Drosophila melanogaster: one gene and its partner. The protein of the gene in region 1 purifies or fractionates together with the protein of each later gene. This does not show direct contact. Each region holds a gene or a part of one and is shown in the gene's direction. Other genes may lie near its edges. The genes, in order: Polr3B and Polr3H.

Region 1 (16,583 bases):
ATTAGGTAAATTGCTTTTAAGTGCCCTTTTGCCAGACTTAATCCGGTAATCTTTTTGCTCAGCCTAATTGAACAATGCATCGAGAAAGGGTCCATGTGTGAAGAGATCGGAATTTCGGCTCAGGAAGCGGGCGAGCGCGGACTCAAGTTGTTGGCCGTGAGTATAGAGATAATTTAAGTTATGATACAGAAATCCATTTGATTGCTTTATACTTGCAGATGCTTTCATACGTCTTTTCGGCTCATTTCTTCACCGATACTTCGCTGCGTCATTTAATTTCCCTGCTCAGTTACGAGCAGGATTATGTTGCACCACTGGTGCTAAAGACACTAACTCATCTGGGGCGCTATCAGCCACTCATTGACGACCCTACACCGGCTATTCTCGACGAGCTGGCTCCGGTGTGCAAGGACTTCGCACTTATTGGAACCCCCAAGCAAGCAAAGCACGCGGTGCGATGTATTTTCGTAAACAGCCAGTCGTCGGCTTCCACTGATGGAGCAACAAGTGGAGCTGGAAGTGCGTCCACAACTACACAAACAGTGCATCCTATTTTCAACGAGATCATCGAGACGCTTCGCCTAAAACTGACACCAAACTGTGAGCATCAGCGCACAAAGATTGTGACCTTGGGTCACATTGCCTACAATATGCCACAGGCCTTCCTAACGCCCATTAAGAATATGATTGCGCGACGAATTGTCAAAGAGCTGCTTATCCAAGAAGTTCCTGCGCAGCGAGACTACGAACTGCCAGAGGACAGTGATTGGTGTGCCCAAGAGAAACTACCGCCGGACACTCTATGTAAGCTGGATGCGCTCAAGGCTATGGCCAGGTGGCTTTTGGGATTGCGTACCGATGAGCACGCTGCCCAGAAAACATTCCGAATGCTGGCGGCGTTTGTTAACCAACGAGGCGATTTGCTCGGCCAGAACCGTCTTTGCGGTGCCGAGAAATCTTGGCTGCGCCTCGGGGCAGCCTGCGCCATGCTCAAAGTGTGCGAACAAAAGGGCGTAGGTGATCAGTACAGCGCTGAGCAGTATTTGCAGCTTTCCCAGCTGATGGTGAGTAGAGACATTCATCTTGTGCTTAGAACTTAGTCTCAATGTCTATCTCGGTGTTCCCGTAGGCTGATCCGGTGCCAGAAGTTCGGGAAATCTTTGCTCGCAAGCTGCACAAAGGATTAAGCAGAAGTTTGCCCAGGAACTGTTTGCCGCTGGACTTCATGGGCTTGTATGTGCTGGCTGGTCTAGAGACTGAGAGGAAGTGAGTAGTTCAAGAAACCATCCGATCCGTTCGGAGAAGTATTGATAAATATTTTCAACAGATTGCAAGACCTTGTGCGTCACTATGCAGAAACGGATGTAAACAAACGGCGGGAATATCTCAAGACTGTGGCTATGACATGTAGGTGTTTTACTTTTGGAATCATATTGTGTATTTTAACCATTAAATCAAATTATTCCAGCTCCCGACAGCTCAACGGAGTCACAATCATTACACATACTACCTGACTACATGCTGGCTTTCGCTATTCCCGTGCTGGTCCACGATCCACGCTTCACGAATCACGAGGACTACGTACAGCTGCGCAAGATGGAGAAGTGCCTGCGTTTCATTCTGGAGCCGCTGATGGCCAAACGAGAAACGTTTGTCCATAGCTTCTACAAGCAGCTGCTGCAGCTGATAAAGCATCGCGAGTTCAGTCTGGGGTCGGACAAGCGCGACAACTATGTATGTCACTCAATCATTTTCCCAGGCTTTCCCTTCTAAATTATATTTATACATATATTTTTCGGTTATCAGAAAATGTGGGCGCTCTGCGATCTTGCCATGTACATTATCGACTCCAAGTTCAGTCCATTTGATGGCAACACGAGCACCTTTTCCATGCCGCTGGCTTTGCCAGAAATGTATTATAAAGAGCCTGCCGTTGCGAATTTCCAAAACAATGACGTCTATATACCGCTGGACGTGTATACGCTGGGAGCCAAATCCACGAGCAAAGCTGCCGCAACAGCAATGACAACGTCGCGAGCAGCAGTGGCTCCAAAGAGACCGGCGGAACAGTCAATCATGGATGATGAAAATCCGCAGGTGAGTGAGGTCCTTGGAAAATACTGAGAATGAATCTAACTAGTGTGTGAAATTTGATTTCAGGAGAACAATCTGTTCGACAACATACGAGCGGCTGACACTACGGAGCCCATGGCCAAACGAACGCGCGCAGGAGCCGCTTCAGCCAAATCATAGGGGCTGGGATGGCGCAGATTGGAGGTGGAGAGAGCGCATACTTGTTAGTTTAGTTATGTTTAGTCTAGGCGCCTAAGTTAACTAAATATTTAAGACGTAGGAAAGACCACGATAGTTGTTAAACCGACACTACCTTTATCCACACCATGCAACTCACAACTAAGCACCCAGAATTCGGATTGTTCAGTTTCGCATTCAGTATGTACTATATCAATTTTGTGAGATACACCAAAAACACAAACATCAAAAAAAGAAAAACGAAAAAAGTGTCGAAAAATCTGTTAACCGCAACTCTGTAAAAGTAATTATTTATCATTTAAAATGTTTTATCCTGTTCTTTTATAGTGTTTGATTTATTGATTGATTTTACCATTATTCTTAGACTATTGTATATCGAATAAAAAAAGGAAAGTATATCGCGCATAAGTTAAAGTACGAAGTAAAGTAATGAAAACGTAAACAGAGCCTTATTAAGTAATTAAAATTAACTTTTCTATGATCGCAGTTAATTTTTAGTTAATGTAACATCATCATAATACATACAATTGTCTCGTTAAATTCAACAAGTATGCATTCAAAATGCATTCAAAAAGAAAACCTAAAAGCGTAAGAATTGGAAAGAAAACTACAAAGATAAAAATAAAATGAATACACACATTAAACTATAAAACATGTACATTAAACAATTATTATGGTTTTTAAATTACAAATAAACGTATGATTATTATTTAAATGTTAAAATGGATATCGAAAATGGGCTTTTAGTTTAAATTATTAAAATGTTGTACTTTTTTAATATAAAGTAAGTTTAAAAAATGGCTAAAATATAATTTTTGTTTCTAACTTTTTTCTTTTCAATTTCAAAGTCGCTCTTAGGAGGGCTAAAACTAATTTGAATATTGATAACAAATGAACTATCGATAAGAGGCCGTCGATAGTTCACGGTGCAACATCAACTCTCCCATCACTAGTTCCAATTGCATTTTCTGCGTTGTTTTTTTTCGGGGGTGTGACGTTTTTCTTGTTGTTTTTGTGCTATTGTGAAATAAACCAAACAATTGTCGAGTTAAATAGACACTGATTGTTGTTTTGCCGCGCAGTTCGAACAACGAAAACTAATTCCAAACAAAGCTTACGCCGGCAAAACCACGAAATGCAGGTGGAACCAGCCGAAGTCGGCTGTGACGTCACGCATCGCCAGCAGGAGAAAAACAAAACCAATGGGATTTTCTCAACGGCAGTCAGAAGTAAAAAAAACGGGCAACCGAACGGACGGATCTACACCTCCACGCCGAAGACCTCGCATCCGAAACTTGAGCACTACGTAGGTGTTGCTAAACCCTCGGAAAAGGGGCGAGTGGGAGTGGTGACCGCCCTCGATCCGCTGATCAAAAAGGTGGCCCTTCTCTTTGGGACTCTTATCATTGGCTACAAAAGCGTCATCTTAACGAGTAAGTGTGCCAAGCTGGGGGCTAAACGTAAATATATTGTGGGTTTATTGGATTTCCATTTGTTTATTTCTGTATATCCCCGGTGTGGCGGGGGTGGGAATTCAAGGTTGCAATTGTCGGTTGCGTCGTCTTTACTCGCACTTTGTTTATATTCTCGCGTTTATAAATAGTTGAAGTTCGTGTGATCTCATAGCGGTGGTGTTTGTTCCCCCTGCATAAGCCGCCGAATAGCGAAAAAACGTCTATATAAGGAAGGCAAATTGTTTGATGCGCATTAGCCGTCTCATTTGCATACAAACGTACTGAAGACCTTAGAAAAATCGTCAAAGAGTGATTAGTTGCTTCATCTTTGAGGCAAAATGCCATTAGTTAGTTAATTGTTTGCCCAGCGGCTATTAGTTATTCATCTACGCTTAGCTTAACGGTATTTAGCACTGGGCTTTCGTCACGCGACACATACATGTATATTCTAATGTATGTAATATAAACATTAGAAGGTACCGCTAGAAGGCCCAGGAAAATAACGAATTTTACATTTCTGACGATATAGCAATCTTTATTTGCTGCAGGTTTTGCATTAGGGTGGCTCCAAAAAAAGTGCGACAAAAAATTTAATAAAGTTTAACAAAGCTCAAAGAAAAAACACATGTTTAATCAACTATTTGTTAAATAATTCAAACATATAAATTTGATATAAGCAGAAAACAAATTTTATACATTGTCGAGAAAAGAAATAATTAAACCAATACAAACGAATATTTATTTCCAATCTTTCCCATCGGTCCAAATCTATAAAAAGCGCAACCTTGCTATTTATGGTGTAACGAATGGGGTTTCTGTACATTTTTGCAAATTTCTTTGCCCACTAATTCTTTCCATTTAGCCAAATTGCTTTGATTCCCTCATAGCGTACATATCTGACTAATAAATTTGAACCACCCTAGTTATAAACCCAACATTTTGACGTGTTTATCACGCTAGGACTGATAACAGTGAAATCAATAGAACGACACTCAAAATGAGATACTAACGAGCTTTGGGCGTTCTCTTTGCAGTGCCATACATCACGGGCGATTCCATCCAGGTGCTGAGCCACCAGGTGCAGAGTAGGTGGAACGAGACCTTGGTGTGGGCCACCAGGCACCAGCTGGGCTCCAGGCTGAGTCCCCTGCTGTGTGGCCTTCTAGTGGCAGCTTTCGCGTACGGAATCGTGTACTTGGACAGCGCGGTGCCCGGCGTAAATCCCCCCTCGCCCTTTACGCCGCGTTCCAAGAAACGGTAAGCTCTGGGGAAATCACCTTTAATTATTCATTATAACATGGAGTCTTTACTTCAATTTGCAGTTTCCGCGAGGAGAAGACTGCCTCGATGCACTTGGGCTACTTGTGCGCCCTGTTCTGCGGATTTCTGGTCACGGTCTTCATGTACTTCGACTTGTACTCGTAGAACTGAATACCCATTTCCTTCCAATTAGTTCAATAAGTTCACCAGTATTAGACTTTATACGCCCACTTCGGAATTTGTATTTGTTGTAGTCCTTGAAACTGTGCAATGCTCCTGGAGAGAATCGTCAGGGGGCATTTTGAAGCTAACTTATTTCCTAGGTATATTAATTATAAGTTACTAACTCTATAAATTATTCATGATTTGTAAACTACAAAAGTACAAAATGAAACATTTCACTGTTGATTGGAGGCCAGGATCGAAAAGCTTAGGCTAGCATATTTATACCTTGTGAAAAGTACACTATCGCCTGGCCTAAAAATCTCAAGAAAACTGTATCCTTAAAAAATAAATTACTTTTGCATAGTGTTTTGCAATAAAATATACGAGGTAACATTTTCAATGCGCAGAAATTGCTGTTGCCAGTCAATGTCGCTTACCTGGTCAATCTTAAATGTTTTCAAGCGATTTTCGCCAATAAACTGGCCCACGAGATGGACAAAGCAGCCTTTTAATGAATAAAACTTTGGTTATGTAATGGTTATCAGTTTCCTGCATTTTACCTGGGCTCCAAGTACTCATAACGCCTTCGAAATCGTAGTAAATTCCCTGAAGGACGGGCCCCGATTCTTTGTTTCGCACGAGCAAGGTGTGTTCTCCACGTTTTCCCACAATGATCCGTAGCAATTTTCCTGAAAAACGATAATTAATGATTTAACTTGCCAAATTTAGCGATATTAATCATTCTGTTTAAAATGTATATAGTAATTTGATTTTGAATGTATTTCAGTTCAGACCCACCGTAAACATTCCAAATAGCATTAATTTCCGGATACATTTTTTGAGTTTTAAGGCAGAAATCCACGCGACCAATTAAACTAATTAAGTTTCGTCCTGGCTTCAACATCGGGGAGCTTGGCAACTCCGCTGATTCCTTTTTGGCTGACATTTCGCAACTGGATTTTTCCAGAATAATCGGTGATGGAACGTTCTCCTTTTTGGGCTGAACTTTCACAGCTTCCTCCACGAATCCATCGTATATTAGCTTATTATCCTTACGACAGACAGTTAGTTTTGTTTGCCGCAATTGGGTGCTATTTTTGCGCAAAAGTTCAGCGGCCGTTGGAAAACTGCGATTCAATTGCGAGACGTTGTTGGTCAGTTGGCTCTTAAATTGAGCTTGGTTGTTACCCAGAGGGGTGCGCGGTTTAACTGAAACAATGTTAATTTTTTGTTAATTTATAAATAGTTCTCAGTATTTAATTGCGGAACTTAACCTTTAGCAAACATTCTTGCAGCCATCAAATTGTAACGGCTATATTCCAATCAGCCTGACCATTTTAATTTTGTCTAAGAATACTTTTACGATTCGTTAAGTGTTGGCTAACGTTGGGAATCGACCACATTACTGAACAAATCGATTGTATCGAATACATATCGATTGCACCTCCAACTGTCCACGCGAGAGTTTTATATATTTTATTTTTACATGCATATTTGTTGATAACTGGGGTTTTCTGTGAACCGCGTTTAACTCTCAGCCAGCCATGAGCACAATATTGGAGAAAATCTCGGCCATCGAGTCGGAGGTGAGTGGAACTTGGAGTACCTGCCGATCTTACAGAAACTAACCTGTCTCGCATCCATTTACCCCGCGGATTCCCCCCTGGATTCTATCTAAATCACCGGGTTGTTGGACCACCTTCTCAACTGAATCCTAGATGGCCCGAACCCAAAAGAACAAGGCCACCTCGGCCCATTTGGGTCTACTGAAGGCGAAGCTGGCTAAGCTGCGACGCGAACTGATTTCCCCCAAAGGAGGCGGCGGCGGAACCGGCGAAGGTAGGCTCTTGGATATATAATTCAGGCAATCACTAAACATTATGTATTTCCAGCTGGCTTCGAGGTGGCCAAGACTGGAGATGCCCGGGTGGGATTCGTAGGGTTTCCTTCTGTGGGTAAATCCACACTGCTCTCCAACTTGGCTGGCGTTTACTCCGAGGTGGCGGCATACGAATTCACAACGTTGACCACTGTGCCGGGATGCATTAAGTACAAGGGCGCTAAGATCCAGCTGCTGGACTTGCCCGGTATCATTGAGGGCGCTAAGGATGGCAAGGGTCGAGGTCGTCAGGTGATTGCTGTCGCTCGCACCTGTAACCTCATTTTCATGGTGCTGGATTGCCTGAAACCGCTTGGCCACAAGAAACTCCTCGAGCATGAATTGGAGGGCTTCGGCATCCGGCTTAACAAGAAACCACCAAATATCTACTACAAGCGGAAGGACAAGGGTGGCATCAATCTGAACAGCATGGTTCCGCAGTCCGAGTTGGACACGGATCTGGTGAAGACCATTCTATCCGAGTACAAGATCCACAATGCGGACATCACCCTGAGATACGACGCCACTAGTGACGACCTCATTGACGTTATCGAGGGCAACCGCATCTACATACCCTGCATATATCTGCTGAACAAGATCGATCAGATCTCCATCGAGGAGCTGGACGTCATCTACAAGATCCCGCATTGCGTGCCCATCTCGGCCCATCACCACTGGAACTTTGACGATCTGCTGGAGCTGATGTGGGAATACCTGCGACTGCAGCGCATCTACACCAAGCCCAAGGGCCAGCTGCCCGATTACAACTCGCCCGTGGTACTCCACAACGAGCGCACCAGCATTGAGGATTTCTGCAACAAGCTGCATCGCTCCATTGCCAAGGAATTTAAATAGTGAGTGCGCTTCACTTTCCCTCTGTTCCCTTGGTTATAATAACATTTATGTATTTCCTTCGTAGTGCGCTGGTTTGGGGCTCATCTGTGAAGCATCAGCCACAGAAGGTGGGCATCGAACACGTTCTCAACGACGAGGATGTGGTCCAGATTGTGAAGAAGGTTTAGACTCTGTGCAACGATAACACTTTGATTACTTGATGGCATTTTTTATTCGAAAATAAAAAACGAATGTGCTTTATGTGTGCGTGGATTTAAGGCGGCTTAAGTTTAAGAAAACCCTCTAATTTTTATTTTATCAAATTTTTTAATTGGCGCGCACAGAGGTAATTTAAATAAATTAAAGCTAGATTTAGCGGGAATTAATTTCACTGCCAGCTCTATGGGAATAACTTTGCTATCACTTGCCCAAGTATATCGATAACCGATAGGTAAAGAAACCGCATATCGAAGAACCTCATAGCACGCTGTTTTGTTGACAAACTTAAATTAAATTATTATAACGAAATGGTGGAGCTAAAGATGGGCGATCACAACGTGGAGGCCACCACCTGGGATCCCGGCGACAGCAAGGACTGGTCGGTGCCCATTAAGCCGCTAACGGAGAAGTGGAAATTGGTGCCGGCATTCTTGCAAGTAAAAGGATTAGTGAAGCAGCACATTGATTCCTTCAATCACTTCATCAACGTGGACATAAAAAAGATTGTGAAGGCTAACGAGCTGGTTACCAGTGGAGCTGATCCTTTGTTTTACCTAAAGTACTTGGATGTGCGGGTGGGCAAGCCGGACATCGACGATGGCTTCAACATCACCAAAGCGACCACACCGCACGAATGCCGTCTGAGGGACACCACGTACTCCGCCCCCATCACCGTGGACATCGAGTACACGAGGGGAACCCAGCGGATCAAGCGGAATAATTTGCTCATCGGAAGGATGCCCCTCATGCTGCGCTGCTCCAATTGCGCCCTTACCGGCAAGTCGGAGTTCGAGCTGTCCAAACTGAATGAGTGTCCACTAGATCCTGGCGGCTACTTTGTGGTGCGAGGTCAGGAGAAGGTTATCCTCATTCAGGAGCAGCTGTCATGGAACAAGATGCTCACCGAGGACTTCAACGGTGTGGTGCAATGCCAGGTTACCTCCTCCACACACGAAAAGAAGTCACGTACTTTGGTGTTGAGCAAGCATGGAAAGTACTACCTCAAGCACAACTCGATGACGGACGACATACCCATTGTGGTGATCTTTAAAGCTCTGGGCGTAGTTTCCGATCAGGAAATTCAATCGCTAATTGGCATTGACAGCAAATCGCAGAATAGATTCGGTGCCTCTCTAATAGACGCCTACAACCTGAAGGTCTTCACACAGCAAAGGGCTTTGGAGTACATGGGTAGGTTTGTTTACCCTAGTTAAATTTTGTTCTTAAAATACCTTTTTTTAGGCTCCAAGTTGGTGGTCAAGCGTTTTCAGAGTGCCACCACAAAAACGCCATCGGAAGAGGCCCGTGAGCTGCTGTTAACTACCATTTTGGCGCATGTGCCTGTGGACAACTTTAACTTGCAAATGAAGGCCATCTATGTATCCATGATGGTGCGTCGTGTTATGGCCGCCGAGCTGGACAAAACGCTCTTTGACGACCGCGATTACTACGGCAACAAGCGACTGGAGCTGGCAGGTTCTTTGCTCTCCATGATGTTCGAGGATCTGTTCAAGCGCATGAACTGGGAGCTTAAGACCATTGCGGACAAAAATATACCCAAGGTGAAGGCGGCGCAGTTCGATGTGGTCAAGCACATGAGGGCGGCACAAATCACAGCGGGACTGGAGTCTGCTATCAGTTCCGGCAACTGGACGATCAAGAGATTTAAGATGGAAAGAGCTGGCGTAACGCAGGTTCTGTCCCGTTTGAGTTATATCTCAGCGTTGGGAATGATGACGCGTGTGAACTCGCAGTTTGAGAAGACGCGTAAGGTGTCGGGACCCAGATCTCTGCAGCCCAGTCAATGGGGTATGCTGTGTCCCTCGGACACTCCAGAAGGTGAGGCCTGTGGTCTGGTCAAAAATCTGGCTCTGATGACGCACATCACCACCGAAGTTGAGGAGCGACCCGTTATGATAGTGGCTTTCAATGCTGGCGTGGAAGACATACGAGAAGTGAGCGGTAACCCCATCAATAACCCGAATGTATTCCTCGTCTTCATCAATGGTAATGTTCTGGGTCTCACCTTGAACCACAAGCACCTGGTGCGGAACCTTCGTTACATGCGCAGAAAGGGTCGGATGGGCAGCTACGTGTCTGTGCACACATCATACACCCAGCGATGCATCTACATCCACACGGATGGCGGTCGTCTGTGCCGCCCCTATGTAATTGTGGAGAACCGTCGCCCGCTGGTGAAGCAGCATCACCTGGACGAGCTGAATCGAGGGATTCGTAAGTTCGACGACTTTCTCTTGGACGGACTAATCGAGTATTTAGATGTGAACGAGGAGAACGATTCGTTTATCGCCTGGAACGAGGATCAAATAGAGGACCGGACTACACACTTGGAAATCGAACCCTTCACTTTGCTGGGAGTTTGTGCTGGATTGGTGCCCTATCCTCATCACAATCAGAGTCCCAGGAACACCTATCAGTGTGCTATGGGTAAGCAGGCGATGGGAATGATTGGCTATAACCAGAAGAACAGGATTGACTCGCTGATGTATAATCTGGTGTATCCCCATGCTCCTATGGTGAAATCCAAGACTATCGAGCTTACCAACTTTGACAAATTGCCTGCTGGTCAGAATGCCACTGTGGCAGTTATGAGTTACTCTGGCTACGACATCGAAGATGCGCTGATCTTAAACAAGGCGTCGATAGATCGGGGATATGGACGCTGTCTGGTGTACAAAAACTCAAAGTGCACTGTGAAACGGTATGCGAATCAAACCTTCGACAGAATCATGGGTCCCATGAAAGATGCGCTGACGAACAAGGTTATCTTCAAGCACGACGTTCTGGACACTGACGGAATTGTGGCTCCAGGCGAGCAGGTTCAAAACAAACAGATCATGATTAACAAGGAAATGCCCGCGGTAACATCGATGAATCCGCTGCAGGGTCAGTCTGCACAGGTTCCCTACACCGCAGTACCCATTAGCTATAAGGGTCCCGAGCCCAGTTACATCGAACGCGTTATGGTTTCCGCCAATGCCGAGGAAGACTTTCTCATCAAGATCCTGCTGCGCCAGACACGTATCCCCGAGATCGGGGACAAGTTCAGCTCTCGGCACGGACAAAAAGGCGTGACTGGGTTGATTGTTGAACAGGAGGATATGCCCTTTAATGACTTCGGCATCTGCCCGGATATGATAATGAACCCACACGGATTCCCCTCCCGTATGACAGTGGGTAAAACGTTAGAGCTGCTCGGCGGGAAGGCTGGTCTCCTGGAGGGCAAGTTCCACTATGGAACTGCGTTCGGGGGCTCCAAGGTGGAAGACATTCAGGCGGAACTGGAGCGCCATGGTTTCAACTACGTGGGCAAGGACTTTTTCTACTCCGGCATCACAGGAACACCACTGGAGGCCTACATCTACTCGGGACCCGTGTACTACCAAAAACTGAAGCATATGGTGCAGGATAAGATGCATGCCCGTGCCCGGGGACCCAAGGCGGTGCTCACCCGTCAGCCGACGCAGGGCAGGAGTCGTGAGGGTGGCCTTCGTCTGGGCGAAATGGAACGGGATTGTCTCATTTCTTACGGAGCTAGTATGCTGATCATGGAGCGTCTGATGATCTCATCGGATGCCTTTGAGGTGGATGTTTGCCGGACTTGCGGCAGGATGGCCTACTGCTCCTGGTGTCATTTCTGCCAGTCGTCGGCCAATGTCTCTAAGATATCCATGCCGTATGCATGCAAACTGCTCTTCCAGGAGTTGACCAGCATGAATGTGGTGCCGAAAATGATTTTGGAAAACTATTAACGATGCAATGGCCTGAAACCGAATAAAATAATTGTTATATAATAATAATGGTTAATGATGGAAACTAGCTTAGGTTTTCCAATATTTTTGTAAAAACGAATGGTGTGTGAACTCTGGCAAGGGCAAAAATCCTACGCATTCATTAAGTTTCCATGACCGCGAGCTGCAAATGTCAAAATGAAGAGGTTCAAACGAAGTCAGCGAAAGAAAGTCCTCTTGAATTTTAACGAGGTCCTTTTGCATATCAGCTTTCTGTTCGTTAACAGGCAGACGCAAGCTGTTACTGAAAAGGACTGAGCCGTGTTAAATCGCTTATGTTATCCTTTTTTTTTATTGCGCAAAGGATAATTAGTTGTGTCTGCCCTTTTGGCCGAATTTAAAACGTCTGTGTCTGGACAAAAGATTAAGTTGTTAAGATGAAATGTTTTTTGTTATTCTGTTTCTTTGTTTGCTCTTTGTCCTTATAATCCTCTATCTTATGTGTATTTTGTTTTTTGGCTCAGTTAAACTAAACATTCTCGAGCGGCTTGATGCTTCTTAGTAAAACCAATATCGCCAGGCGTTGATTTATTGTTTTCCCTCGATATTGCCTATTGCCTGATTGCCCGTGAGGCAATTACCTGTCACCTGGCTTCGAGGTGGAGCTCAACCCAGATTCCGGCCGATGTGTCAACGTGTCCGTGGTCAATGCACCGCGGTGCATGCACGTGACCTGCGAACTGCAGGCGACACAGCCACCCACACAAGCCAATGTCCTTGTGCGTCCTTTCGAGTGACCTGCGCTTAAAATAGTCACAGCTACCACCCACTGCTGCTTCTCCTCCGCAGGACACGTAGAAGTTACTATGTGCAGTGCAATGACAGCAAACGGGGCAAACTGCCAGCAGCAGAAGCAGCATCAGCATCCGAGGAACCAATGGTGCGCACTAGGATGACAATTTAAGGCTGCCCCATCTCTGATCTCCCCCATACTTGCATGCCCACCTCTTTTCCGGGCTATTCAGTACCGTTTTATACGTGGAAAAACTTTTGAGAATTATATAAAGTTAGTTGATATTCGTATGACTAAAAGAAAACTACTCATTCCTATTTATACCTACATACCTTTATCCTTTATGGAATCCATTTGCTCAATTAGGCGCTGATAAGTATGCAATAAGTTATAGTTTTTATTAGTTTTTAGTATCATAACAGAATCTTTATTTTTCGCCGTGCACAAACTGATGAGAACCCAATCTGGGGCCACCTTCCGGCTTTGGCTTTCCTTTCATGTATTTTGGCCATTTGTCAAAAGTTTGCTTTTTGCTCTTCTTATCTGGACGGTTCGTTGATGTGTGCATGGCAATAGATGTATATAGATTTAAATGGGTGTTGGCCACTTGTGTAGAAAGTTAAGCGTAGTCCAACTGCTCTTTTGGCCGGGTTCCAAGCGGGCGAGGGGATTTCGAATTGACAACACCGGATATCATTGGGCTGATAATGCGCAACCCCTCCCAATGGACTAATTGAATCCGAAAGCACCTTCCGATGGAAATAGAGATTAGATTGCTGGAATCACCTTAACTTTTCAGCCAGGATTGTTCCAGCAAACTCTTTGTGTTTTCTAGGGACTAGGCCACAGCCAAATGTTAACATATTCAGCGAGAGAGAACGTGTTTTTGACTATGTTTGTTTTCTCTTTGTAAGCTTTATGTTTCAATATATTTAAAATTCTAATCTGTTTAGTGTTTTCTTTTAGAAGCACATTATTACCTATTTTACAAAAAATTGATACAATATTAATTAATTAAATAACCAAAATCTACAGGGAATAATTTATAAAAAAAAAAATATAAAAAAAAAAAGTGTTAGGCTTCAAAAATATGTTTACTTATCATGATTAAAAAGAAACATGGCCAATAGGACATAAAACAAATATTATTTGAACCTATCAGTTAACATTCATTTAAAAGCGAGCACTCGCAGTTCGAACTCAACATCTGTTAGAAGCCCTTTCTCTGCGTATAAAAGGCAGTGCTTTTGAGCAAAACGCGCTCATTTCAAAACCGGTGCTCATCGCAACGAAAGCTCCGCTGCGGAGCCGAGAAAATATTGTTAATTCCCATTTGAAGTGCAGCTTGTGGAAGGAAATTCCAAGTTTGTTTGTTCGGACGCCGAGTGCAAGTGCAAGAAGCAAGCGAAAAGTAATCAAATCTATAGAAAAGTCATTTAATGTGGAGCAATTAAGCCTGGAAATAAAGTGCATAGTGAATAAGTAATTTAGTTGGAGCAAACAAAGCCATGGAGACTGCAGCGAACTCGGGCGACTCCAAAAAGCCTTTCAAAGTGAGTTCCCCCTGTAATTGTAAATGGAAATAAAGGCCGCAGACGAACAATTGCATTTTAAGTGCATGCATTATTTTCCTGGCATGTCCATTTTTGGGCGTTGTTGTTTTCGCCTTTGTTGTTGTTGGCCGCGTGCTGCGTTCGCTACTTTTTTTCCTTTTTTTTTGGATTCTTATGGAAACTGGGTTGAACTTCAGAACTCAAGAGAGCCAAAAGCTCAAGCTAAGAGAGTGCCGAAAGCTCAGTAATAAGCATTAACTGCCTGAAATTTGACTTTGCAAATTCAAAAACACTATTTAGTTGCTTTCTTTCTCTTTGTCCTTTTTTTTACATGTTTGTCTAGCTTTGCATTTGCCTTTTGATTCGAGTATTGGGAATTGTTTGCCTTTAGCATTTGTTTTACTTGACTGCTGGGCCATTGTTTCCTGTTTAATTTGTTTATCTGCCGCTTAAACAGCAGAAAGCTGTTTAAAGTATTATGGGGATGTAAAAAACGTGCTTAAGGTTGCAGAAAACCACTGGAAGTACATGCAGCTGACAACTCAAAGGAAACCAATAAACCACAAAGCTATTTAAATTGTCTGTGAAACACAGAAAACAACTTTCGTAAAACATGACTGGAGATAACATCCAGGAATTCCCTCCCCCACTTTATCCATTAAAATGCCGCTCCTTATTAAAATATTTAATTCAAAAACCACCAAACGCAAATCGGCTTAAAAGCTGTCAAATACCATGACAGCCATGAAAATGCCATTAAAAAGGGAAAACTTTTCATCCCGACATGTCGCTGTAATTAGCCAACAGCCACGCCCACGACCCGCCTCAGGCATTTTGTTAATAATTTATTAAACAATCTACATAATGCCGCGGCATAGTTCAAAAGCAATTTAAAGTTGTCGCCTAATTTCCCCAGCGACTCGAAAATCTGCGGCCTACGCCCATCAAATATTAAAATGTCCTGCGACTTGTGGATTCTGCCCGCATCTTGGATGCAGATGATAGAGTTCCTGGCACGTCTCCTTCGGCTGCTCCTAAAACGGAGCCAGACGCCGGAGGTCGTTGCACGTTCATCTACGTACGTATGTGTGGACCAGGACCCTCGGGTCCTGATGGCTGAGCAGCTCGAGTTAGTTGAGATTTATAAGCCCTCAACTCGCTGCTGCTCTACCAATTTGCCCAAGTCGTTTTGCATACACTTTTGTGTATAAACTGGTCTTCTAGAAAAACACTTAACTGATTTCATCTAGACTTTCACATACATTAGCCTGAACTTGTAGTGATGCTAGTTTGGAAATTTGTATCTTAAACAGTAGCAAGTAGGTAACATTTGTGTTTGCTCATTTCAATATTTAAATATTATTCTTATATTTAAATATTAAAAAATAAAGTTTTACTTACCACGATGTGCCAAAAATTTGCTCTTAATGATATAACCTAATAGCATTTCCATTCAAGAAACAACTTGAAACACTTTTGAAACATGTTTACTTTCCGAATAAATCTTGTTTCTGATTTGTATAAGCTTTGTATAATTTTGCGGGTAATTAGATAAACTGCTAATTGAATTGCGACCGCTTGAAAAATCGACGCCACTTGAAAAATCAACTAATGCGATCGACTAAAACTTTTGACAAGTTTCCGAACAAAAACTATGCTTTTGTTTTCGATGCTGCCGCGACTCCCACTTGTCAAATGCGCCAGTAGTTGGGCAAAGTTTTCATTGTTACAAAGTTCTAGCCCCACACGCCGCATTCATGATATGATTAATATTTGGAGCTTTCGCGGCACAAAAGTTATGTGGCTTTAAGTATTTATAAGATAATTTAGGGACGACCTCCTCCGCTATCTGAGCAAATGGAATTGGGATGATAGAGCAGCTAGGCGCACGAGTAAAATGAAATGTTCGAAATGCAAACTCGAGTACAATTTCATTTAGTCACGGTGCTCTCAAATATTCATGAAGGACCTCAAGGAGTTGCACGCTGTCCGACGTTTCGGGGCTATAAATTCTGGGTGGAATGCATTCGTGCCGCTTGCTCCCTTAAAGTTGCGCCTCCTTGAGCCTCCATCTGGACGGGTCTAATTTATGTTTCGTTTAACCTTAGTGCTGAGGCATCATTTAACATCGCATGCAAGTTTAATAGAGCCAAAGGCTTGCGTCCTTCGTCCTTGCAACCGGCGAACAGCACTAACCTATGGCATTCGCGAAGGAGCATGCAGCATGAAGAATGCTGACATGCATAACTTGTCAAATAAAAAGAAAATTTAAAAGGATACGCCAGGGAATCGGGGAGTGGGAGATAAACGACAAATATTTGCACCGCAGCTGCTAGAGTGCATGTCAAACTGCGTTCGAGATCTCGAGCAAAAGTAGAGGAGCTCATGGAACTCGGCATTCGC
Region 2 (16,583 bases), on another chromosome or scaffold:
GATTGCCCCAGGCATTACAGTCCTTCGGATTATAGTGAGTTTTGCCAGTTAATTTTATAGTTAAGGGTTTAATTATTGGGATTACTTTTTTTGTTACAGTTATTGAGCTGGTGGATGCCGAGGATGGACACCTGGTGCCAGCACTCAGCGACCTAACCGAAAACGGGAAGCTGATCTATGTGGTCAGTCAGTCTGAGCAATTGGCACCTCAGCAGGCGGTCACCACAATGTTTCTGGAGCAACAGAAGCGTCCATTCTTGCCCGCCTTTTTCGCTGGCAGCGCCGCCTCCACGGATGGAACGCTAATTGGAGGCACCAGTGCTCTGTTGGAGCAAGTGAAGGCCTTCTCGAAGAGACTCCATACGGATCGGCGGGATGTATGTGGGTTTCGTCAGTTTATCGTTCTTATGCGAATAATGCTACTGAGAATAACGCGTGCTCGTTTGGCACTGACCATCCAATTGTTCCATCACCTGCTGTGCGGTCTGTTCTTTGGCCTGATATTCTTCCAACTGGGCAACCAAGGTGCCCGGATGTTCGATCATCTGAAATTCTGCATCGGCGCCGTCCTCATGATCGTGTACACCCAGGTGATGGTGCCCATTTTGAGCTGTAAGTGTTTTGGTTTTTTATTTCCTACTCGAATACTGAATCTGAAGATTATCCTGCAGATCCCGCTGAGGTGAAACTGGTCAAGAAGGAGACCTTTAATCGTTGGTATACCCTCACCCCGTACTACATGGCCCTCACAGTTTCGCGACTGCCAGTTCAAGTGCTACTCAACATCACCTTCATGGCTGTCACGTACTGGATGTCCGGATTGCCGCAGCAGTTCTGGCGCTTCTGCATTTTTGTGGCTGTGGGTTTGATGATCTCATTGGTGGCCGAGGGAATGGGCCTGGCAATTGGAGCCACCTTCAGCATTACGGTGAGTTTCCTATCCGCATACGAGGTATACTTTTGGGCTAAAACTCTTCATTCTCATTGCAGAATGGCAGTGTGGTGGGTCCGATGCTAATAGCTCCTCTGATGGGTTTGGCCGTCTACGGATTTGACTTTGCGCCGCAGGTATCCGGCGGAATGCAACTGCTGATGAAATTCAGCTATGTGCGTGTGGGCGTGGTTTCGTTGGTTTTAGCCGTCTTCGGATTTCAGCGGGAAGAACTCGACTGCGATGCGATATACTGTCATTTTAGCGATCCTCGCGTGCTGCTCAAATTTTTGGATGTGGAAAAGGTGTCGATGCTCCATCAGTTCGGATTGCTGGCCATGCTGATGCTGTTCTTCCGAGTGATGATGTACATCAGCCTGCGAAAGCGATGCTATGCCTGATTTTGAAACCAATATTCCAGATGAATCTTATCCCTAGCTTTAGGCAATGTCAATGCTGTGATGTTCGATTTTAAACAGACAGATAGATACTTCCTGTACATACTTATGCACCATTCCCATGAAAAAGAACAAAGGTTAACATAAACATAAGATAGCTTAAGTTAGGATATAGTTCACATACACAAATGCCTTTTAAAAGCCAAATTATTTGCACGGATATAATGCAAACGTTGCGAAGAAATCTTGAGATTAGCGAAATGTATATTGATAACATTTCGGTTAAAATCTAAATGATACGACAATCCCCAAGTTGTTTGCAAGGAGACGGCTGCACATTTTTTACATTTTTTGTGGTTAAAGTAATATCAATTCGAATTGTACAAGAATAAAACCCATGTTTTGACGATTCAACCTTGTGTAACTACTATTTTTATTGATTTAACAATTAGTTAATTGGAGTCCGAATCAGAACTGTTTTTGGGACCATCATCCAGAGTAAAATCTCGAATGGCTTTAAGCAGATCAAAGTACAAGTTATTTCGCCAATTCACTCTATCTAAACCAGACTCCAACGTGGATGATAAGCCAGAAACCATTGAGGATGGAAGGTTCCTATGCAAATGATCGTTCAGCGCCGAAAATTCAGCTTTTGTAGACATCGCATTGATAAACGGGGTCAAAATCAATTTAACGTCCTTGCTGGAGTAGTTTGAATATTCATTTTCAGTTTTTTAAAGTTATCTTAAAAGATTTTAAATACTTACCTTCGCAGAATTTCCTTAGAATGGTCAATGAGAAACTGTTTGCCCACATAGTAGCCCAATGGGGATCTCAAAACGGCGCTCAGAAGACTGGCTGTCATCGTTCTTGGAACCTTTTTTGAGTCAAGCGCCCAGCTGAGCAACTTCTGCATCGCCCAATACTCCGTGGTGCAGCTGAGAGAATTTAGAAGGATACTCCTCTCCTTATCATTCTCGGACTCAAAGAACATATCCCGCACCATTATCCAATGAACCTCCAAGCCGTTACGAATGCCCCTGCAGAGCACGATTTCCCGAATCTCCTCCGGAATGGATGAGCTAGATTTCTGGTCCATCGCCGCCTGAAATCGCTGCTGTGCGTCCGTTAGGCATTCCTTGATTTCGAACTGACACGCCAGCCGGTATAAAATCGCCGACAACGACAAATCCGATTTGGTGGTGTCCGGGGATTCTGTGGTGTCCGAGGATTCCGTGGTGTCCGGGGATTCTGTGGTGTTCGAGGATTCCGTGGTGTCCGGGGATTCCGCGGTGTCCGGGGATTCCGTGGTGTCCGGGGATTCTGTGGTGCCCGAGGACTCCGTGGTGACCGGCGATTTCGTATTGATCGGTATTTCCGAACCAGTTCTGGCTTTTGTTGAGAGGGAATTTAATGTTGTTTTAAAAGCTGGCTCAATAAGTTTCTGCATGTAAAGCTAAGAAAAAGTTAGGTTCATATTAGATAGATATAGATTCAAAATTAAGTTTAATTTGGTAGCTCCCACCTTAAAGATACGAAAGCCCGTAGTCATTCGCATGATACTCTGTAGCTTCTCCAAATTCAAAAGCGCTGTTTCCCAAACCAAAACGCTGGTCTCATTCGAAAGATATGAGATCACGTTTAAGGTGACGTTATACGGCAACCGACCTGACCACGATAGACTGAGGGCATCATCGACCAACTGGATGCGACTAAGCTCCGGAATCTGGGTGAAATCCTGACGCAGAGCCTCACTGATCAGCTGCAAGTTGTATGAATCGTAGAAGACGCGAAGAGGAACTGCAGCATCCACATTTATTAATAGCCAATCCTCCGGATTAGCGATGTGGCTGAGTTCCAATATATCTCTACTATTTTTCTGACAGCCGAGCCACTCCACCTGAGGCAACGTAAGATTCCTGACGATGTAAGCGACCGGGACCCACCAGCAGTCATTGGAACTGTTGTCCAAATATTTCTGATAATAGCGACTCTGCGTTATGGTCACAATTTGCTTCGCATCGTCGCGCTGGACGGTGAGTAGCGGGAAACCTGGTTGCTTCATCCATGACTCCATCACAGTGGGTAAACTCACACCGGTGGGCAGTTGGTGACTTCGGCGTGCCCCTCGCTGGAACTCCTCCCACAGTTCCTTGGATGAAGCAGATGAGTTGGCGTATCGCTTAAAGAACTCTTGCAGTCCCTTCAAGAACAACTTATCACCGAGGGCCACCTTTAGCATGTGGATGAGCAGACACATTTTCTTTTTGCGGAGTTTCTGGTGTCCGGATTCCTTCACATCGGTAGCGATCGATTTTACTTTGGCCAAGGAATCATGATACAAAACATCTAGACGCGTTTTTGAAAGGTGAGTCGTGTTATACGCCTCTTTGTCCATGGCCATCACCTGGACGCTCAGATAGTAGTTAATGCCGTTCCGCACATATTCTTCATCCGAATCTTCGAGGTTCACCAGCAATCCGTTCCATTGCCGCGCTACCAGCTCCGCAAGCGTTTCCTGCAGGCTTTCAAGACCGTTTTGTCCTGAGTCCACGATATCCTCGCCGTACACCATTATGCCCTGACCGCTATACATTTCTGTATATCTAGGCAACACTACATGATCGACCTTACCACCCCAATCTGCTCCTTTTGGCAATGGATATGCGAACAAGGTTTCGTATTTACTAAACAAATTGGGCGTCATTTCCGGCACCTTCGCCAGTTTCTCTGCCAAGTGCGGCCGTGACCAGACGGTGATATTCTCACCCGCAGCCGCAGGACCACTGTAAACTTTCTCTAATTGATGAAGAGTCCACATGACCTGCTGTGTGGCTAGCGGTGGTGAACCCATAAATGTCGTCGACACATAGTTTTCGATCTCCTTGCTGCAAGTATAGAAACACATACATAACTTTAGTATTATAAATATGGGTTCTCTAAAGGATTTACTAACTATGGTTTCTCCTCTACGGGTGGCATATTGCTGAGTGCAACGTATTTCCGGTCGTGCACTAATGTTATGTTATATGGGGTCCGAAAGCGTGGGTCATCGAAGCAGGGAAACACGGTGTGAGCATAGTCCGGTTCCAAGCGAGTCGCGGAGTAGAAAACCCTCGGCGTTTTGTCGTAGTAGCCGGCAAAGTAGCCATATTGCTGACTCCGATCTAGGTTACCCGAGAATAACATGTTGAGTGTGTATATCTCGCCACTTCTGAGTGGGAGTTCGATTACTATCTTAATTAAGCTGGTCTTTTTAATAATTCTCTTTATCTGGAGAGCACCGATTTTTCTGCCGCTAGCCCATCGGTATATCCATGTTCTTTGTCTAGATATTGTTATGTTGAGAGAATTTAAATAGATGACGCGAGTTGGTTGTGTCGCTTCAATATCGATGGACACGATGCCCTCAAACTGGTTCTGCTCATCTTCACTCCCCAGGCGCGTAAGAATTGTCAAATTATAGCGCAGTGGTTTCACAAAGGATTCTGCCAATTTTGCCGATAATAATGTGCAAAACAATACAAGTATTTTAAGCAACATTGCTGAAAGACTGCGACGAAACTAAGCGATTCGTAGCAACTGCAACTAGGAACTTCACCTAATTTACGATTTCACGCCTTTCTATGGATGCGGTGGTTATTTAAAAACAAATAAAGTGGAGCAACTAAAGGTACACTTATTCCTTTAGATATATTACTTAATATTAACCGAAAATTCGATTAGAATACTAGTAACGTAGTGTGTTTAATATTTCATTTATAGCTGCGGCGTTCCCCGCAGCCATTTGGTATAGTAATACCATAAGAAAATGATTAGCTACATCGTTTTTATATAATTTCATTATATACGATGGAGCCAAGTTACAAAACTTGCATAAAATATTTAGAACTTAAACTCACAGCTATATTAACTCTATTCAGAAACAATCCTATTTTTTCATGCTGCCCATTTTCTCTTTGCGTTTCTTCACGTGCTTTTTCACTTTAACCTTGCGCTGCTCGGCTTTCGCATCTTTGACGGCCTTTTTGCGAGCCTTTTTACTCTCCGGAGACTCTTCTCGTGGTCTTGCCGAATTCTTAAACTTCTTGGCATCTTCATCGTTGTCGTTATCCTGCGAGTTGTCTTCGTCCTCACTGCCGCTCGTTTGGGCCTCACTACCGTCATCCTCTTTGGCGGTCGAGGATTGCAGCACGTCTGGCTTTTGCTGCACGTCCAGATCCGAAGTCAGACCAGTGATCTTTCCGTAGATGAGATTTTGCTGCACCCCTTGCTTGGCCTTGGCTACATCTCTCTCAAAATGGCGCACCTAGAAGCGGAATACGAATTTGTAATGTGACATTGATTTTTAAATCACGGCGCAAACATACCTCGTCCAACCTTTTGGGAATGTAGGTGTTCTGCCAAACAGCCTCATCGATCTTCTCCTGAGCCGAGATGGCATCGAAATCGCGGTCCTTGATTCGCTCAGATATGCGTTCCAGGCACTCCTCCATGTTCTCTGTGGTTATAGTCTGATCGGTGATGAAATCAAAAAGTTCCTTCACCGTCATCGTTGCCACTGCACGTTTTCGGAAGAACTCGGATATGTTGGTGCAATCCTTGCGCAGGAAGTCAAAGGAATGCGGATGATCGTGCTCCACTGACTGGCTTACATCGATAATGACCAGCTGACCATCCTGCAGCAGGATGTTAAACTCTGAAAGATCAGCGTGCACAAGACGGCATTGATTGTAAATGCGCCACATGATGACTACGCAATCCCTGTACAACTCTCGCGCCTTTGAAGTGCTGAGCTCAACATCCTTAAGCTTTGGCGCAGGCCATCCGTCGCGACCGCAAAACCGCATGACCAGTACATGTGAGCGTAGCAGGATTGGCTCCGGTACAGGAACGCCAGCGTTGCGCATTCGCAAGTAGTTTCGCATTTCCTTCTCCGCCCAGGTACGCACCATTTTGCGCGGATTGTGCTTGCAGTAGCCGTGTCGAAACCGGAATTCGCCTGACACATATTTGTCGCGGTCCTTAAATACTAGAATGGACGTCTTGTAGATCTTGATGGCAAACTCCTCTTCACCATTTTTGGAAACGGCGTGATAGACATTAGCCTCTTTGCCCGTAGAAATGCAGCCGTTGATTTCCTGTATCATTCCGCGATTCAGCAGCTTGAAGAGTATCATCCGGGTACGTGGATCCATTACCTGTTCCGCAGTGGCTCGGTCGTGTTTGTCACGCACCTGTGTCCTATCGCGCCGATCGAAGTTCACCAGCCGGTTGGCCGCCTGCGCGCTCATATTTGTGGTGGGATCGTACTTTTCTACATTAATGCGGGCGGAGTAGCGGCGCAACAGCTTTTCGTTTGGTTGGTAGCTGCTGACGCGTTGTGAGCCACCAGATGCACCTCCAGCGCCACCGCCGGAGCCACCTCCACTGGCATTTGTTAGCTGCGGCTGAACGTGAAGCTTGTTAAAGCCCGTATAGGCCTCCTCATACGTATCATAGTCATCTCCGATATCGTCGTAATCGTCTTCATCGTATTCCTCTGGCTCTTCGTCCTCCGGTTCATCCTCTTCGTTGGCGGTTGCTATAACTTGTGCCAGGTCATCACAGTCCTCTTTGGGTGTCAGTTTAATATCCTTAAAGATCTCGTGCTTCAATGTGAGGTTCTTGAAGTCGTTTGTCCACTCGGACTAAAAAATTGGAAAGTGTAAGAAAGATTTCATTGTAAATTCATAAGCACTTTGCTTACACTTCGCAGGTCTTCTTCGTCCTCCTCGGCGTCGCTATATTTGTGGCTGTCGTTGTTCATCGCGAGATGCGCAGTAACTACTAATAAGTATTAAATTCCTCGTTGTATTTATAAGGCAAAGGCTTTTAAATCGGTGCTAGATTTACACAAACCTATTAAAGCTCAAAATTTCACAAATTTGTACAACCAATCGCACGTGTTGCGAATGCCATTCACAAAGAAGCGTCGACATTGTTTTGGTATTTTCCTAAGATGGCTATATGCAGTAAGCAAATGTGCGGATAAATATTAAAGCGATTTTGTCTTGCCAAACGGGCTTAATATCGTGCGAAAACTATTATTTGTATCTTAATTTGTTGCAACTGAAATAAAATTTAAAGAAATTCAATTGTTGGCTTTGGCAATCAGCTAGCTTAACAGCTGACCGAATGGTTAGTTCGGGAGTACCCTAACTTAGCAATATAAATTCATATAATTGGTATTTTTGGTATATACTGCATGAGCATGTGGTCACACTATGGCTACACATGGTACTGTAGCTCACATTCAAAACAATGAACGAGCATTAGTTTAAAAGAAGATATTTAAACAATTTGGCGACATGTTCGTGCTGGCGGAGCTGAAGGACAATGTGAGGATTGCGCCGGACCAGTTCCATCTGAAGTTGGTGGACGCCGTGCGCGACGAGATCGACCGAAAGCTGGCCAATAAGGTGTGTAAGTTGTGACTTCCATGTGCACGTCCTGATTCTCGATTTTCTACGTGACAGGTCCTTCTTAACGTGGGATTATGCATTGCGCTGAAGGATATTGTTTCACTGAAGGATTCCATCATCCTGCCGGGAGACGGAGCCTCGCACACGGAGGTTCTGTTCCGGTACGTGGTCTTCCGGCCGATGGTGGGCACCGTGATTACCGGAAAGATTCGAAACTGCAGCCGCGAAGGAGTCCATGTGACACTTGGTTTCTTCGACGACATCCTCATTCCGCATGCCGCCCTGCAGCATCCTTCGCGCTTCGATGAGGCCGAACAGGCCTGGGTTTGGGAATATCCGCTCGAGGATGGCGCCAAACACGATCTCTTCATGGACGTTGGCGAGCCCATTAAGTTCCGCGTATCACGGGAGATCTTCGAGGAAACATCGCCCATTGGACCACCGAAAACTGAGGCTCAGACTCAGCAGGGAGCTAGCACATCCGCTGCAGTCGCATCAGCTACCTCCCAAGAAGTGAAGACACCGTACAGGATTATTGTTAGTTTTTTGCCGCCCCTGATAAAAATCTGTATTTAACGAGTGCTTCTATCCTTCAGGGTGCCATTAACGAATCCGGCCTAGGCGTGCTCTCCTGGTGGGATCAGCAGGGAAAGGACGATGAGCAGGACGACGAGGAGGACGAGGAGTACGATGACGAAGATGGCGAAGGCGCATGCGAAGAATGATCCTGACGCCTACTCCTTTGTATAGATGCCACTTACATTAGGGTTAAGAATTCGATTTAAGATGAAGTCATGACCATAAAGTTTGATTTAAGTCTGATTAGATCACAGCGTGTTTATGATTTTCAGACCATACCATACCATAAAAACACAATTAAATTCATTTTACCATTTATTTATTTTATCATGTACTTGTAGAGTTGTGTTCTTCTTGGTTTAAGACTGCAGTTTCCATCAATAGCAGTTTGCTTAATGTTCTGGATGAAACTCTCACACTGGAGTTAAAAACAAAGCATTTACATTAAGTTTTAGTGAGGGCTTTAGTTTAATGAGGAGAGCGGCTCTATAACGTAAGCTAGATATATAGAGTATCTTTTGACGGCCAGAAGTCGATTGTTTATGGTTCGCAATTGCATTTTGCAATTTGACAACAATTTGCTAAACATTATGTTAAATATTGACCTCATTGGTAGCGTGCTCATTATGTCACCTTAAAATACTTTCAGTAGCAGTAAGTTAATTACAGATTAGTCATATGGTACAATCGAAGTTAGGTTTCACTGGTCAGGGTATGCAAAAGTCGAGGATTTTTGTAAATTTCAATTGCAATTTCAATCTAAAGCTGATGGCAACTTTTGCACGTTTTCGCTAAACTCGTAAATATTTTCAAATATTCATCCTTTGTTGTTGTGTTGCTTCTTTGAACTAATGTAATTAATTGCATATTTTGATTCACTTGGTATGTTTTGTAATTTCTATTTGTTGTTTGTTCGTCTTTTGGGCGCAATGTTTTGTTTTCATTTTTTTGAGTTTGGTTTTTTTCTGGTTTTCTTTTTTTTTCAGTAGTATTTTACACGTAGTCTGCATGTTTAAATACAGCGAGAGTAGTAAATAAAACGTTTGTTAAAAACTACAATAATATAAATAATGTATATTTATAAATATAAATATATATTCATGTATATGTATATTAGACATATTGTATTGCATGTAAATAAATATCATCTTCGGGTCTTTTGTGGTACATCATCGTCTTAAACAGATCAACTTAACTAAGTTCCGTATCAAATCACAGCAGAAATCAAAATAAGTCTAAAACTATAAGGGATAGAGTACAGTGTTGACGGAAAGTTAAAGTCACATAGCACGCGAGGAACTTGCCGACTGGAGGTTAGGTGTACCAAATTAGCATACTCAAATGGTTCGCCGCATCGCACCGAACCCGAACCCAAACCGAACCGAATCGAAAATCAGTGCTCAGGGGTTCCGTATCCGATCATCTCCATCCATCGATTATTCGATGATCAGGCAGCGAGGCAGGTGCTCCTTCAGGTAGTCAAACAGCTCGTGCGACGCACCCGGGCAGTTGGTCAGTTCCAGCTCCTGCAGATGCCTCAGCTGGATCAGGCTGGACAGACCCGACGAGGTAAGCAGCGGACAGCCGGCGAGGGAAAGCACCTGGAGGTTCCGCATGGAGCAGAGGTGCTGCAGCCCGAAGTCGCGCACCTGGGAGCACCAGCGCAGGAAGAGGGCGGTCAGCGATAGCATTGTGGAGATGTATCCCACGCCAATGTCCGTTATGTGCACACACCTGAAAGGATATTAGATAAATCTATTATATAAATAACTCGATGTAAAATGCGGAAACTCGCAGTTTAAGACCATACACAAACTGTTTATATCAATAGGCAAATCTCAAATAAAAAAATTTATTTATAATGTATATATGTACACATTCATACTTTTAAGAATTAAATAAATACTTTTTAAAATTAAAAAAAAAAAATTGGTAAATAAAAAATCTAAGAAGTCCGAATATGAAACAGTTGATAAGAAATTCATATGTGAGAACCGGTCTTGCATTTTATGTTTCATTCGTTTCGTGCCACGCGTAGCATGCAGTCATCTTTAGCTTGGATTCCCTTGTTCACTCTGCTCCTTGGCCACCAGGTTTCAGCCAAGCTTTTGGATGAATCCTGTGGAAATTCCAAGGAGCTGAACAGGGCAGGACTACAGGCAGCTGCTTGGATGACAGCCATCAGTAATGCCTCGCATTTCCTGTGCGGTGGCACGCTGATTCACAAACGTTCGTATTTAAATACATAATGAAACAATAAAAGATTCTCACATTTGATAATACAAATCTTTGATTAGGCATTGTTCTAACCGCTGCTCGGTGTATTGATCAACAGGTCAATCTGTAAGTATCCTCAAATTATGTAGATACTGACATATTTTTGGAGGAATATCTGTTTTCGAAAAGCATCATTATCTTTACTAAATATCAATATTATACTATTATTTTTATTTATTTTAGATTTGTGGAGTTGGGGGCTTACAATATTCCAGATGCTGATACTATGGACTCTAGAATTCCGGTTTCCACAGCAGTTGTACACCGATTCGCCTCTAAATCGCCCATCCAAAATGATATTGGATTGCTTAAACTGTCGTACAGCGTAGTTTTTTCGGGTAAGTTGGCAATTAAACGGAATTGTGATAGTCGTAAAACCACTCATTTATAGCCGACATTCACTCAATATGCATAATTACGGATAAGAGAATCATGAGTTCCGTACAGTCGATTCGAACCTTCAAGGCCTTTGCCTGGGCTCCAAAAAGTCGGGGCTTGGAAAGCGAAAATCTGCACGAGCTTATCTTTCATAGGCTAAATCAAAACGAGTGTAATATTAATCCCAGTTTGAATCAAATATGTGCTGGTGCCTTAAATGGAGAAACCAGTGGTCTCTATTCTGGAAATCCGTTGACCAAAAGCGTCATCATTGCTGGAACTATCAAACGCGAAGTTCAGATCGGGATAGTAAGTTATAAAAACCCAAACCGCAAAGGACCAGTTGTCTTTACCGACATTACATCCCATGTGGACTGGATTGCGGCCTATGTGGATAGATTGAATTTGGAGGAATCAGTTCCGAATGCAATACAAGAAGAAGAAATTTTAACCGGAAACTCAAGAGCTGCAAGTGTTAGTAACCCGGACATATGGTTGTATAAGGATTGTGGTGGCGATACCATAACATCGCTACAAATGGGCCTTGTTTTTGGAAACAATTTTAAGGCGAATGGGGTTTTTATCACTGAAAGTGATACTAAAGTGATTACTAAAAACAAAATCAATTAAATTAATTGCCCTCATTCCTTCTAGATTTTGTTATTACAATTGCCAGAGGCTTGCCAGAAATAGTGTAAGTAACATTAACTTGATTAATAAAACAAGTAGCCAAAGCTTTACCTTCTTATACAGAAATGTTCTACCGTTGACTACAACTATTAGCAATATTCTTGCTGTCGATGCGATCATTAGATATGGCAACTACTCAGGATTTGATAAACATGATATAGCACTGCTTAAACTTAAGCAGCCAGTCACCTTAGGTAACTATTTTCCAGAAGGTATCAAGCCAATCTGTATGCTTCAAATGCTAAGGCATCAGATGGAGGCAGAATCTACTCCGCCTTTCTCCAGATTTGTACCAGAACAAAGTGAAAATCGCATCCTCATTACTGAGCATAACGTTGAGCTAATTAGTCCCGAAGAATGTGCGAAGCAACTACATGGCGAAATCGAACAGAATCAAGTTTGTATCGCAGATTCTTTCGGAATTACTAATACAAATTATTTCAGAGGCGAAGTGTTGGGTAAAATTCTAATGTATTCGGCAAAGAAATGTGTTGCTCTGTTTGGTATTCTAAGTTATTCCACTTCAAATGTTCTAGTTTATACAAATGTTATGAGATATACGAATTGGATAGAGCAAACTGTGAACTCATATTCATAACTGTCATTAACTTCAAAAATGTTTCGAAAAGTAAAGTAACAATTTTCAATTAAATTATAAATGAAAGTAGTAATAAGTATTTTATATGTACGACTTGGCAAACGAATTAAATTGAATAATAATATTTGTATAAATAAAAAACTAAATATGTTTAAGAGTAATGTATTTGAGATCAACCAAATTGTTTCTGGTTTTAAAATTGTTCTGCTTTTTTGAGCGGCTTTGTTTATGGTTGTTCATAATTTAAACGGGAAAGTTTAATGATTTTTTTCTGTCTGCAACTCGCTGCAGTTTTCGAGGACTAATGGTTGCCCCCGGAGATGAGGTTGAGCTACTCGGCGACGGAAATTGAATTTTACTCATGAATAATTACGCAGCCGGGTGGTGAGGGGCAATGAGGAGACGCGACCTTGTGCACTGATCCGGTGGACTGGTACTCACCTATCCAGCGTCAGCTCCTCCAGCTGGTTCAGATCACAGGCGATATACTCGAGCGAGGCGTCCGTGATGCGGGGACACCAGGACAGGTCCAGGGCGCGCAGCTTCTGCAGGTTCTCGGCAATCAGCTCCACTCCATCATCCGTCAGTTTGCTGCAGCCGGAGAGGCTTAGCACCGTGAGATGCGGCAGGGAGTGCACTGTAATTGGAGGAGAAAAACGGGCAGAGTTTGGCATTAGTTTTGGGGTATCAGCTGGGACTCCTTCGGCTCACGTAGCCGCCTGCAGATGCTCCACTTTGCAGTGAGCACGTCCCAGGAAATGAGTCCTCTGGAGTTCGAATATAAGTATGTTGCCTTACTGAAGCGTTCAGTTGGCCCCGCCCCGTTTAAATCGAAATTTAAGTTTCACATAAGTTTCTTTTTAATACCCCGTTAAGTATACGCAGTGTTGGGTCGAAATGAAGATACATATATATGGTCAGTCATAAATATATAGTAATAAATCGAGTCTATTAAAAAAACAGCTGAGCACTTATATTTCAAAAGTAACTTTTCATTTCTTTGACTTGCTTGATAGAAAAGATATTATGAGAAATAGTTTCCTTCCTACTTTATTTAAGATGGCTTAAACAATTCAGCAGAACGTAAGCTTATAACTTATAATACCATTTGAGTGGTAACTAGGCTTTGTGGTTACTCGGCAAAATCCAATTTACCTAAATCTGACTTGCTCCAGATTTGTTGCTAAGCTGCATGCAATCTTGAGATAGACTAATGTGTCATGCATCTAATTACCACGGCTATTTAAAGCGCACAGCCTCAGCGGCTGTTCTACTTATTTAAACTGAGGCAGTTCCTCAGCTCGTTCCATTTATGTCGACTTCGGTTTACCCTGTTCCACATTTTGCCGTGTCATTTTCTGGCTTGTTTGTGCAGCTTGCTTTTCCTTTGCGAATCTGGGATTATTTGTCGTTTCTGTGGATAAAGGCACTACTAACAAGGTTTTGAGGGCTTCGCTTAAAGCGCGAGAACTAAAGAGCATATTTTGGGTAAATTTAAAGAATATTATTTAACAGTATTTTCTTATGTGGCCAGAAAGTCAAAGGGTTAACTGCGCCTGCTGAGCATGGATAATCGATAAAGGATAACGTGTGAACCATAAGGTGAGACTGTAGAACTGCAATTACCGTCTGTAAGCCGCTTAAACTTTGCTAATGGGAATTAGCCATATTCCTTGGCCAAATATGTGAGGTGAACGAGTTTGGGGCACGTGCGGCGGCTGCGTAAACAAAGATAAAGCGCCCAAAGACAACAAACTTCCAGGCAGCATAATGAGTGTGTGTGTGTGTTTTTGCGGGAAACTCCCATACCCTTGCTCCCCAAACACTTCATCCCTTGCCTAAAGTTAAAAGAAGAAGTCGAAAAATGCAGGGTCCGCTCGACTAAGCCGCTTTGTATTCAGTTAGAGTCACTATGTACGAGTATGCAAAAGTGTGAGTGGGTGTAGTTGGCCCACTTTGGTTACCGACAGCTACTCAGAAACTTGGATACTTGCTAGGAGCAGCGGAGGAGCGCTCCTCTTGTCTGGCTTCTGACCAAAAAAACCACATGGCATACGCGAATAGCTTTGAATTACAAAATATGCGCCAACTAGCGAATCCACACGAAGATAAACGCGATACTAGCTTCTGGGCCAAATGGAAAACTAATGCAAACAGCCATCTGAATGGAGGAGGCCTATGAAAAATTAACACAAACAACTCGCTCTGTTCAGCTGCTCTATTGACTTAACTATGTTGAAACGAGGCTTTTATGCGCTGTATATAAAGAGTTTTTGGGGGAGTTTTGTGAAGTTTCAAAAGAACTGAAGCCACGACGGAAAAACGAATGAGTGGAGATTAATAGGCTATGATGCTTAATGCTGTTGAAAAACTGAATTCAAAGCTTGTTTTGGAGATGTTTTACAGTACATAAAGGGTTCTTAAATTGTATTAGTTAGTAATATTTATACATTTATATGTGCACTATACATTAAGTTGCAACATTCTTGGAATTCCCTCTTCAAGAGGATCTTTTAGGAGGAGAATTGGAAAATCCGTTGCTCATGCATATTCAGTCGTAATTGAGGAGGCGGTGTTGCTGCTGGTGGGAGGGAAGCCACAGCAGTGACAATAACCGTAACGCTGACGACCAACTTGGCCAAGTTGCCAGGCGACGCAGCTCCTCAAGGAGCTAACTGTAATTGTATCTATCAAGCGGCGGATGCAGTACAATCCGCAATGGCGAAGGCAACGGCGACGCCCCAAAAGCTAAAAACCGCAAAAACATGCAACGACAAAGGCGCCTCTGTGCAAACAAACATCTAGTGGGGACAGTGCAGCCTCGGTAGAGCGAACCAAGGACTAATAAACCATTTTGTAAAGCAAAATTCATTCATTAAACTGGGAAAATCTACAATAACTTACGGGATTGTTTTTAAGATAATGACTAAGCTAGAAGATTCCCAGTTTTACTGTTACAAACAGTGAGATTTAATGGGTTTCCACTGTACAAATGTATATTTATAACCAGCACAGACGTAGTTACAGTTGCGATGCACTAAGTCGGCTGCCTCTTGATAGAAACTGTGATTAAGAGCCGCCGGCGACACTGGCAGACCGCAATGCTGTGTGGGATTGGGGATGGTCCCCGTTGGTGCGAGGGGCAGAAGAGGATCGATAGTGATCGCAGCCAGAGTGACATCGATTGAATTACACTCGGAGCGAGTTCAGAGCATGGGCATTAACGTTAGAAGCCCCTCAGATCGCCCAGATCTTCCAGCGGAATCGCTGCTTATTTATCGCGCCTGCAATCATCGCTGAAATTCATTTCGTTATCAGCGCCCCATCGATGTGCATCCGTCTCGTGATTCCTGATCCGCACATCTAATCCCAATCCGAAACTAGTTTTTGAAACACCTTTAAGTGCATTTTAATTTTAATATTGGTAGTTTTGGTGACGAATCCTGTGTTGCAGTTTCGTTTTGTGACCGACACTAACGGGTAATTGTTTGGCCGCCAGGATTACTCGTTTTTGCGATCACAAATTATGAAATTGCAGCAAAACTCAACGAAATTGTGGAACCAGTAAAAATAGATAGAAAATAATATGTTTTGTGTGCTTGTGAACTATAAGTTTGCATTCTAAGATGCATTTATCGAGACAAAGATTCAAAAAATTGTGAAAGAGTATTAAGGAAATAAAGCTAAGAAAGTGTGCTGTCAATTTACGATAAATATTAAATACAAAGTAAACTTTTAAGGTATGTTGTATAATGTATATATTTTTTTTAAATAATTTTTATTTTCCTATATAAAGCATTATTTACTGTGTTCAGTTTATTGATAAGGCATTTGAATGCCATGCTAGTAAATATAAGTTAATCTTGATAATATTACCCTGGCGAGTTCAAGAGAGAAATGCTGATTATAGAATAGGTCGTCAGAAATGAATGTTCAGTGATTGTAAGCTAGTGACGTTGGGACTTTTAACATATAATCATGCCATTATATTTCGTTTCTTGTTTTCTTTAAATTATTAAGTTTCTATTCGGGGCAGTAGCACAAATTCAATGTGGTGCTTCCTGACTTCGTGGTAGACAGGAAAAACCAAATTATCAGCCGCCAAAGTTGGAAATGATTCATTCGTTCTATGAATAAATTGGGTTCGTTTTCTGGGAATTTCCTGCGGATCACGAGCTTGCAGAGGTGACGGAAGCAGGGAAAATCCACCTGTCTGTTTGATATGGAAATGGAAATTCGCGCTTGACAAGACAACGCATCAAAAATAG

Evidence for each region.
Region 2: the proteins of Polr3B (region 1) and Polr3H purify together in Drosophila melanogaster (affinity purification with mass spectrometry, with the first as the bait; one large-scale study listed by BioGRID). This does not show direct contact.

The regions. Positions count from the first base shown.
Region 1 is NT_033778.4:12,030,729-12,047,311, forward strand, and holds Polr3B (RNA polymerase III subunit B), read left to right. Parts: upstream 1-8,312; 5' UTR 8,313-8,390; coding exon 8,391-9,273; intron 9,274-9,324; coding exon 9,325-11,855; 3' UTR 11,856-11,895; downstream 11,896-16,583. Other genes in the region: pds5 (precocious dissociation of sisters 5), read left to right, coding at 1-5, 63-156, 219-1,064, 1,130-1,266, 1,328-1,407, 1,469-1,734, 1,807-2,097, 2,161-2,253; CG8321 (uncharacterized protein), read left to right, coding at 3,407-3,704, 4,760-4,982, 5,048-5,150; CG43191 (uncharacterized protein), read right to left, coding at 5,501-5,655, 5,711-5,839, 5,949-6,359, 6,425-6,437; 128up (upstream of RpIII128), read left to right, coding at 6,695-6,736, 6,869-6,989, 7,043-7,883, 7,949-8,051; Drep1 (DNA fragmentation factor-related protein 1), read left to right, coding at 14,136-14,180. UniProt on the Drosophila melanogaster protein: DNA-dependent RNA polymerase catalyzes the transcription of DNA into RNA using the four ribonucleoside triphosphates as substrates. Second largest core component of RNA polymerase III which synthesizes small RNAs, such as 5S rRNA and tRNAs.
Region 2 is NT_037436.4:11,641,162-11,657,744, forward strand, and holds Polr3H (RNA polymerase III subunit H), read left to right. Parts: upstream 1-7,594; 5' UTR 7,595-7,679; coding exon 7,680-7,790; intron 7,791-7,847; coding exon 7,848-8,330; intron 8,331-8,389; coding exon 8,390-8,518; 3' UTR 8,519-9,338; downstream 9,339-16,583. Other genes in the region: CG32091 (uncharacterized protein), read left to right, coding at 1-34, 100-612, 672-928, 991-1,332; CG6071 (uncharacterized protein), read right to left, coding at 1,782-2,031, 2,097-2,785, 2,855-4,217, 4,286-4,872; RIOK1 (RIO kinase 1), read right to left, coding at 5,261-5,638, 5,700-7,019, 7,079-7,138; CG32085 (uncharacterized protein), read right to left, coding at 9,809-10,106, 12,757-12,952.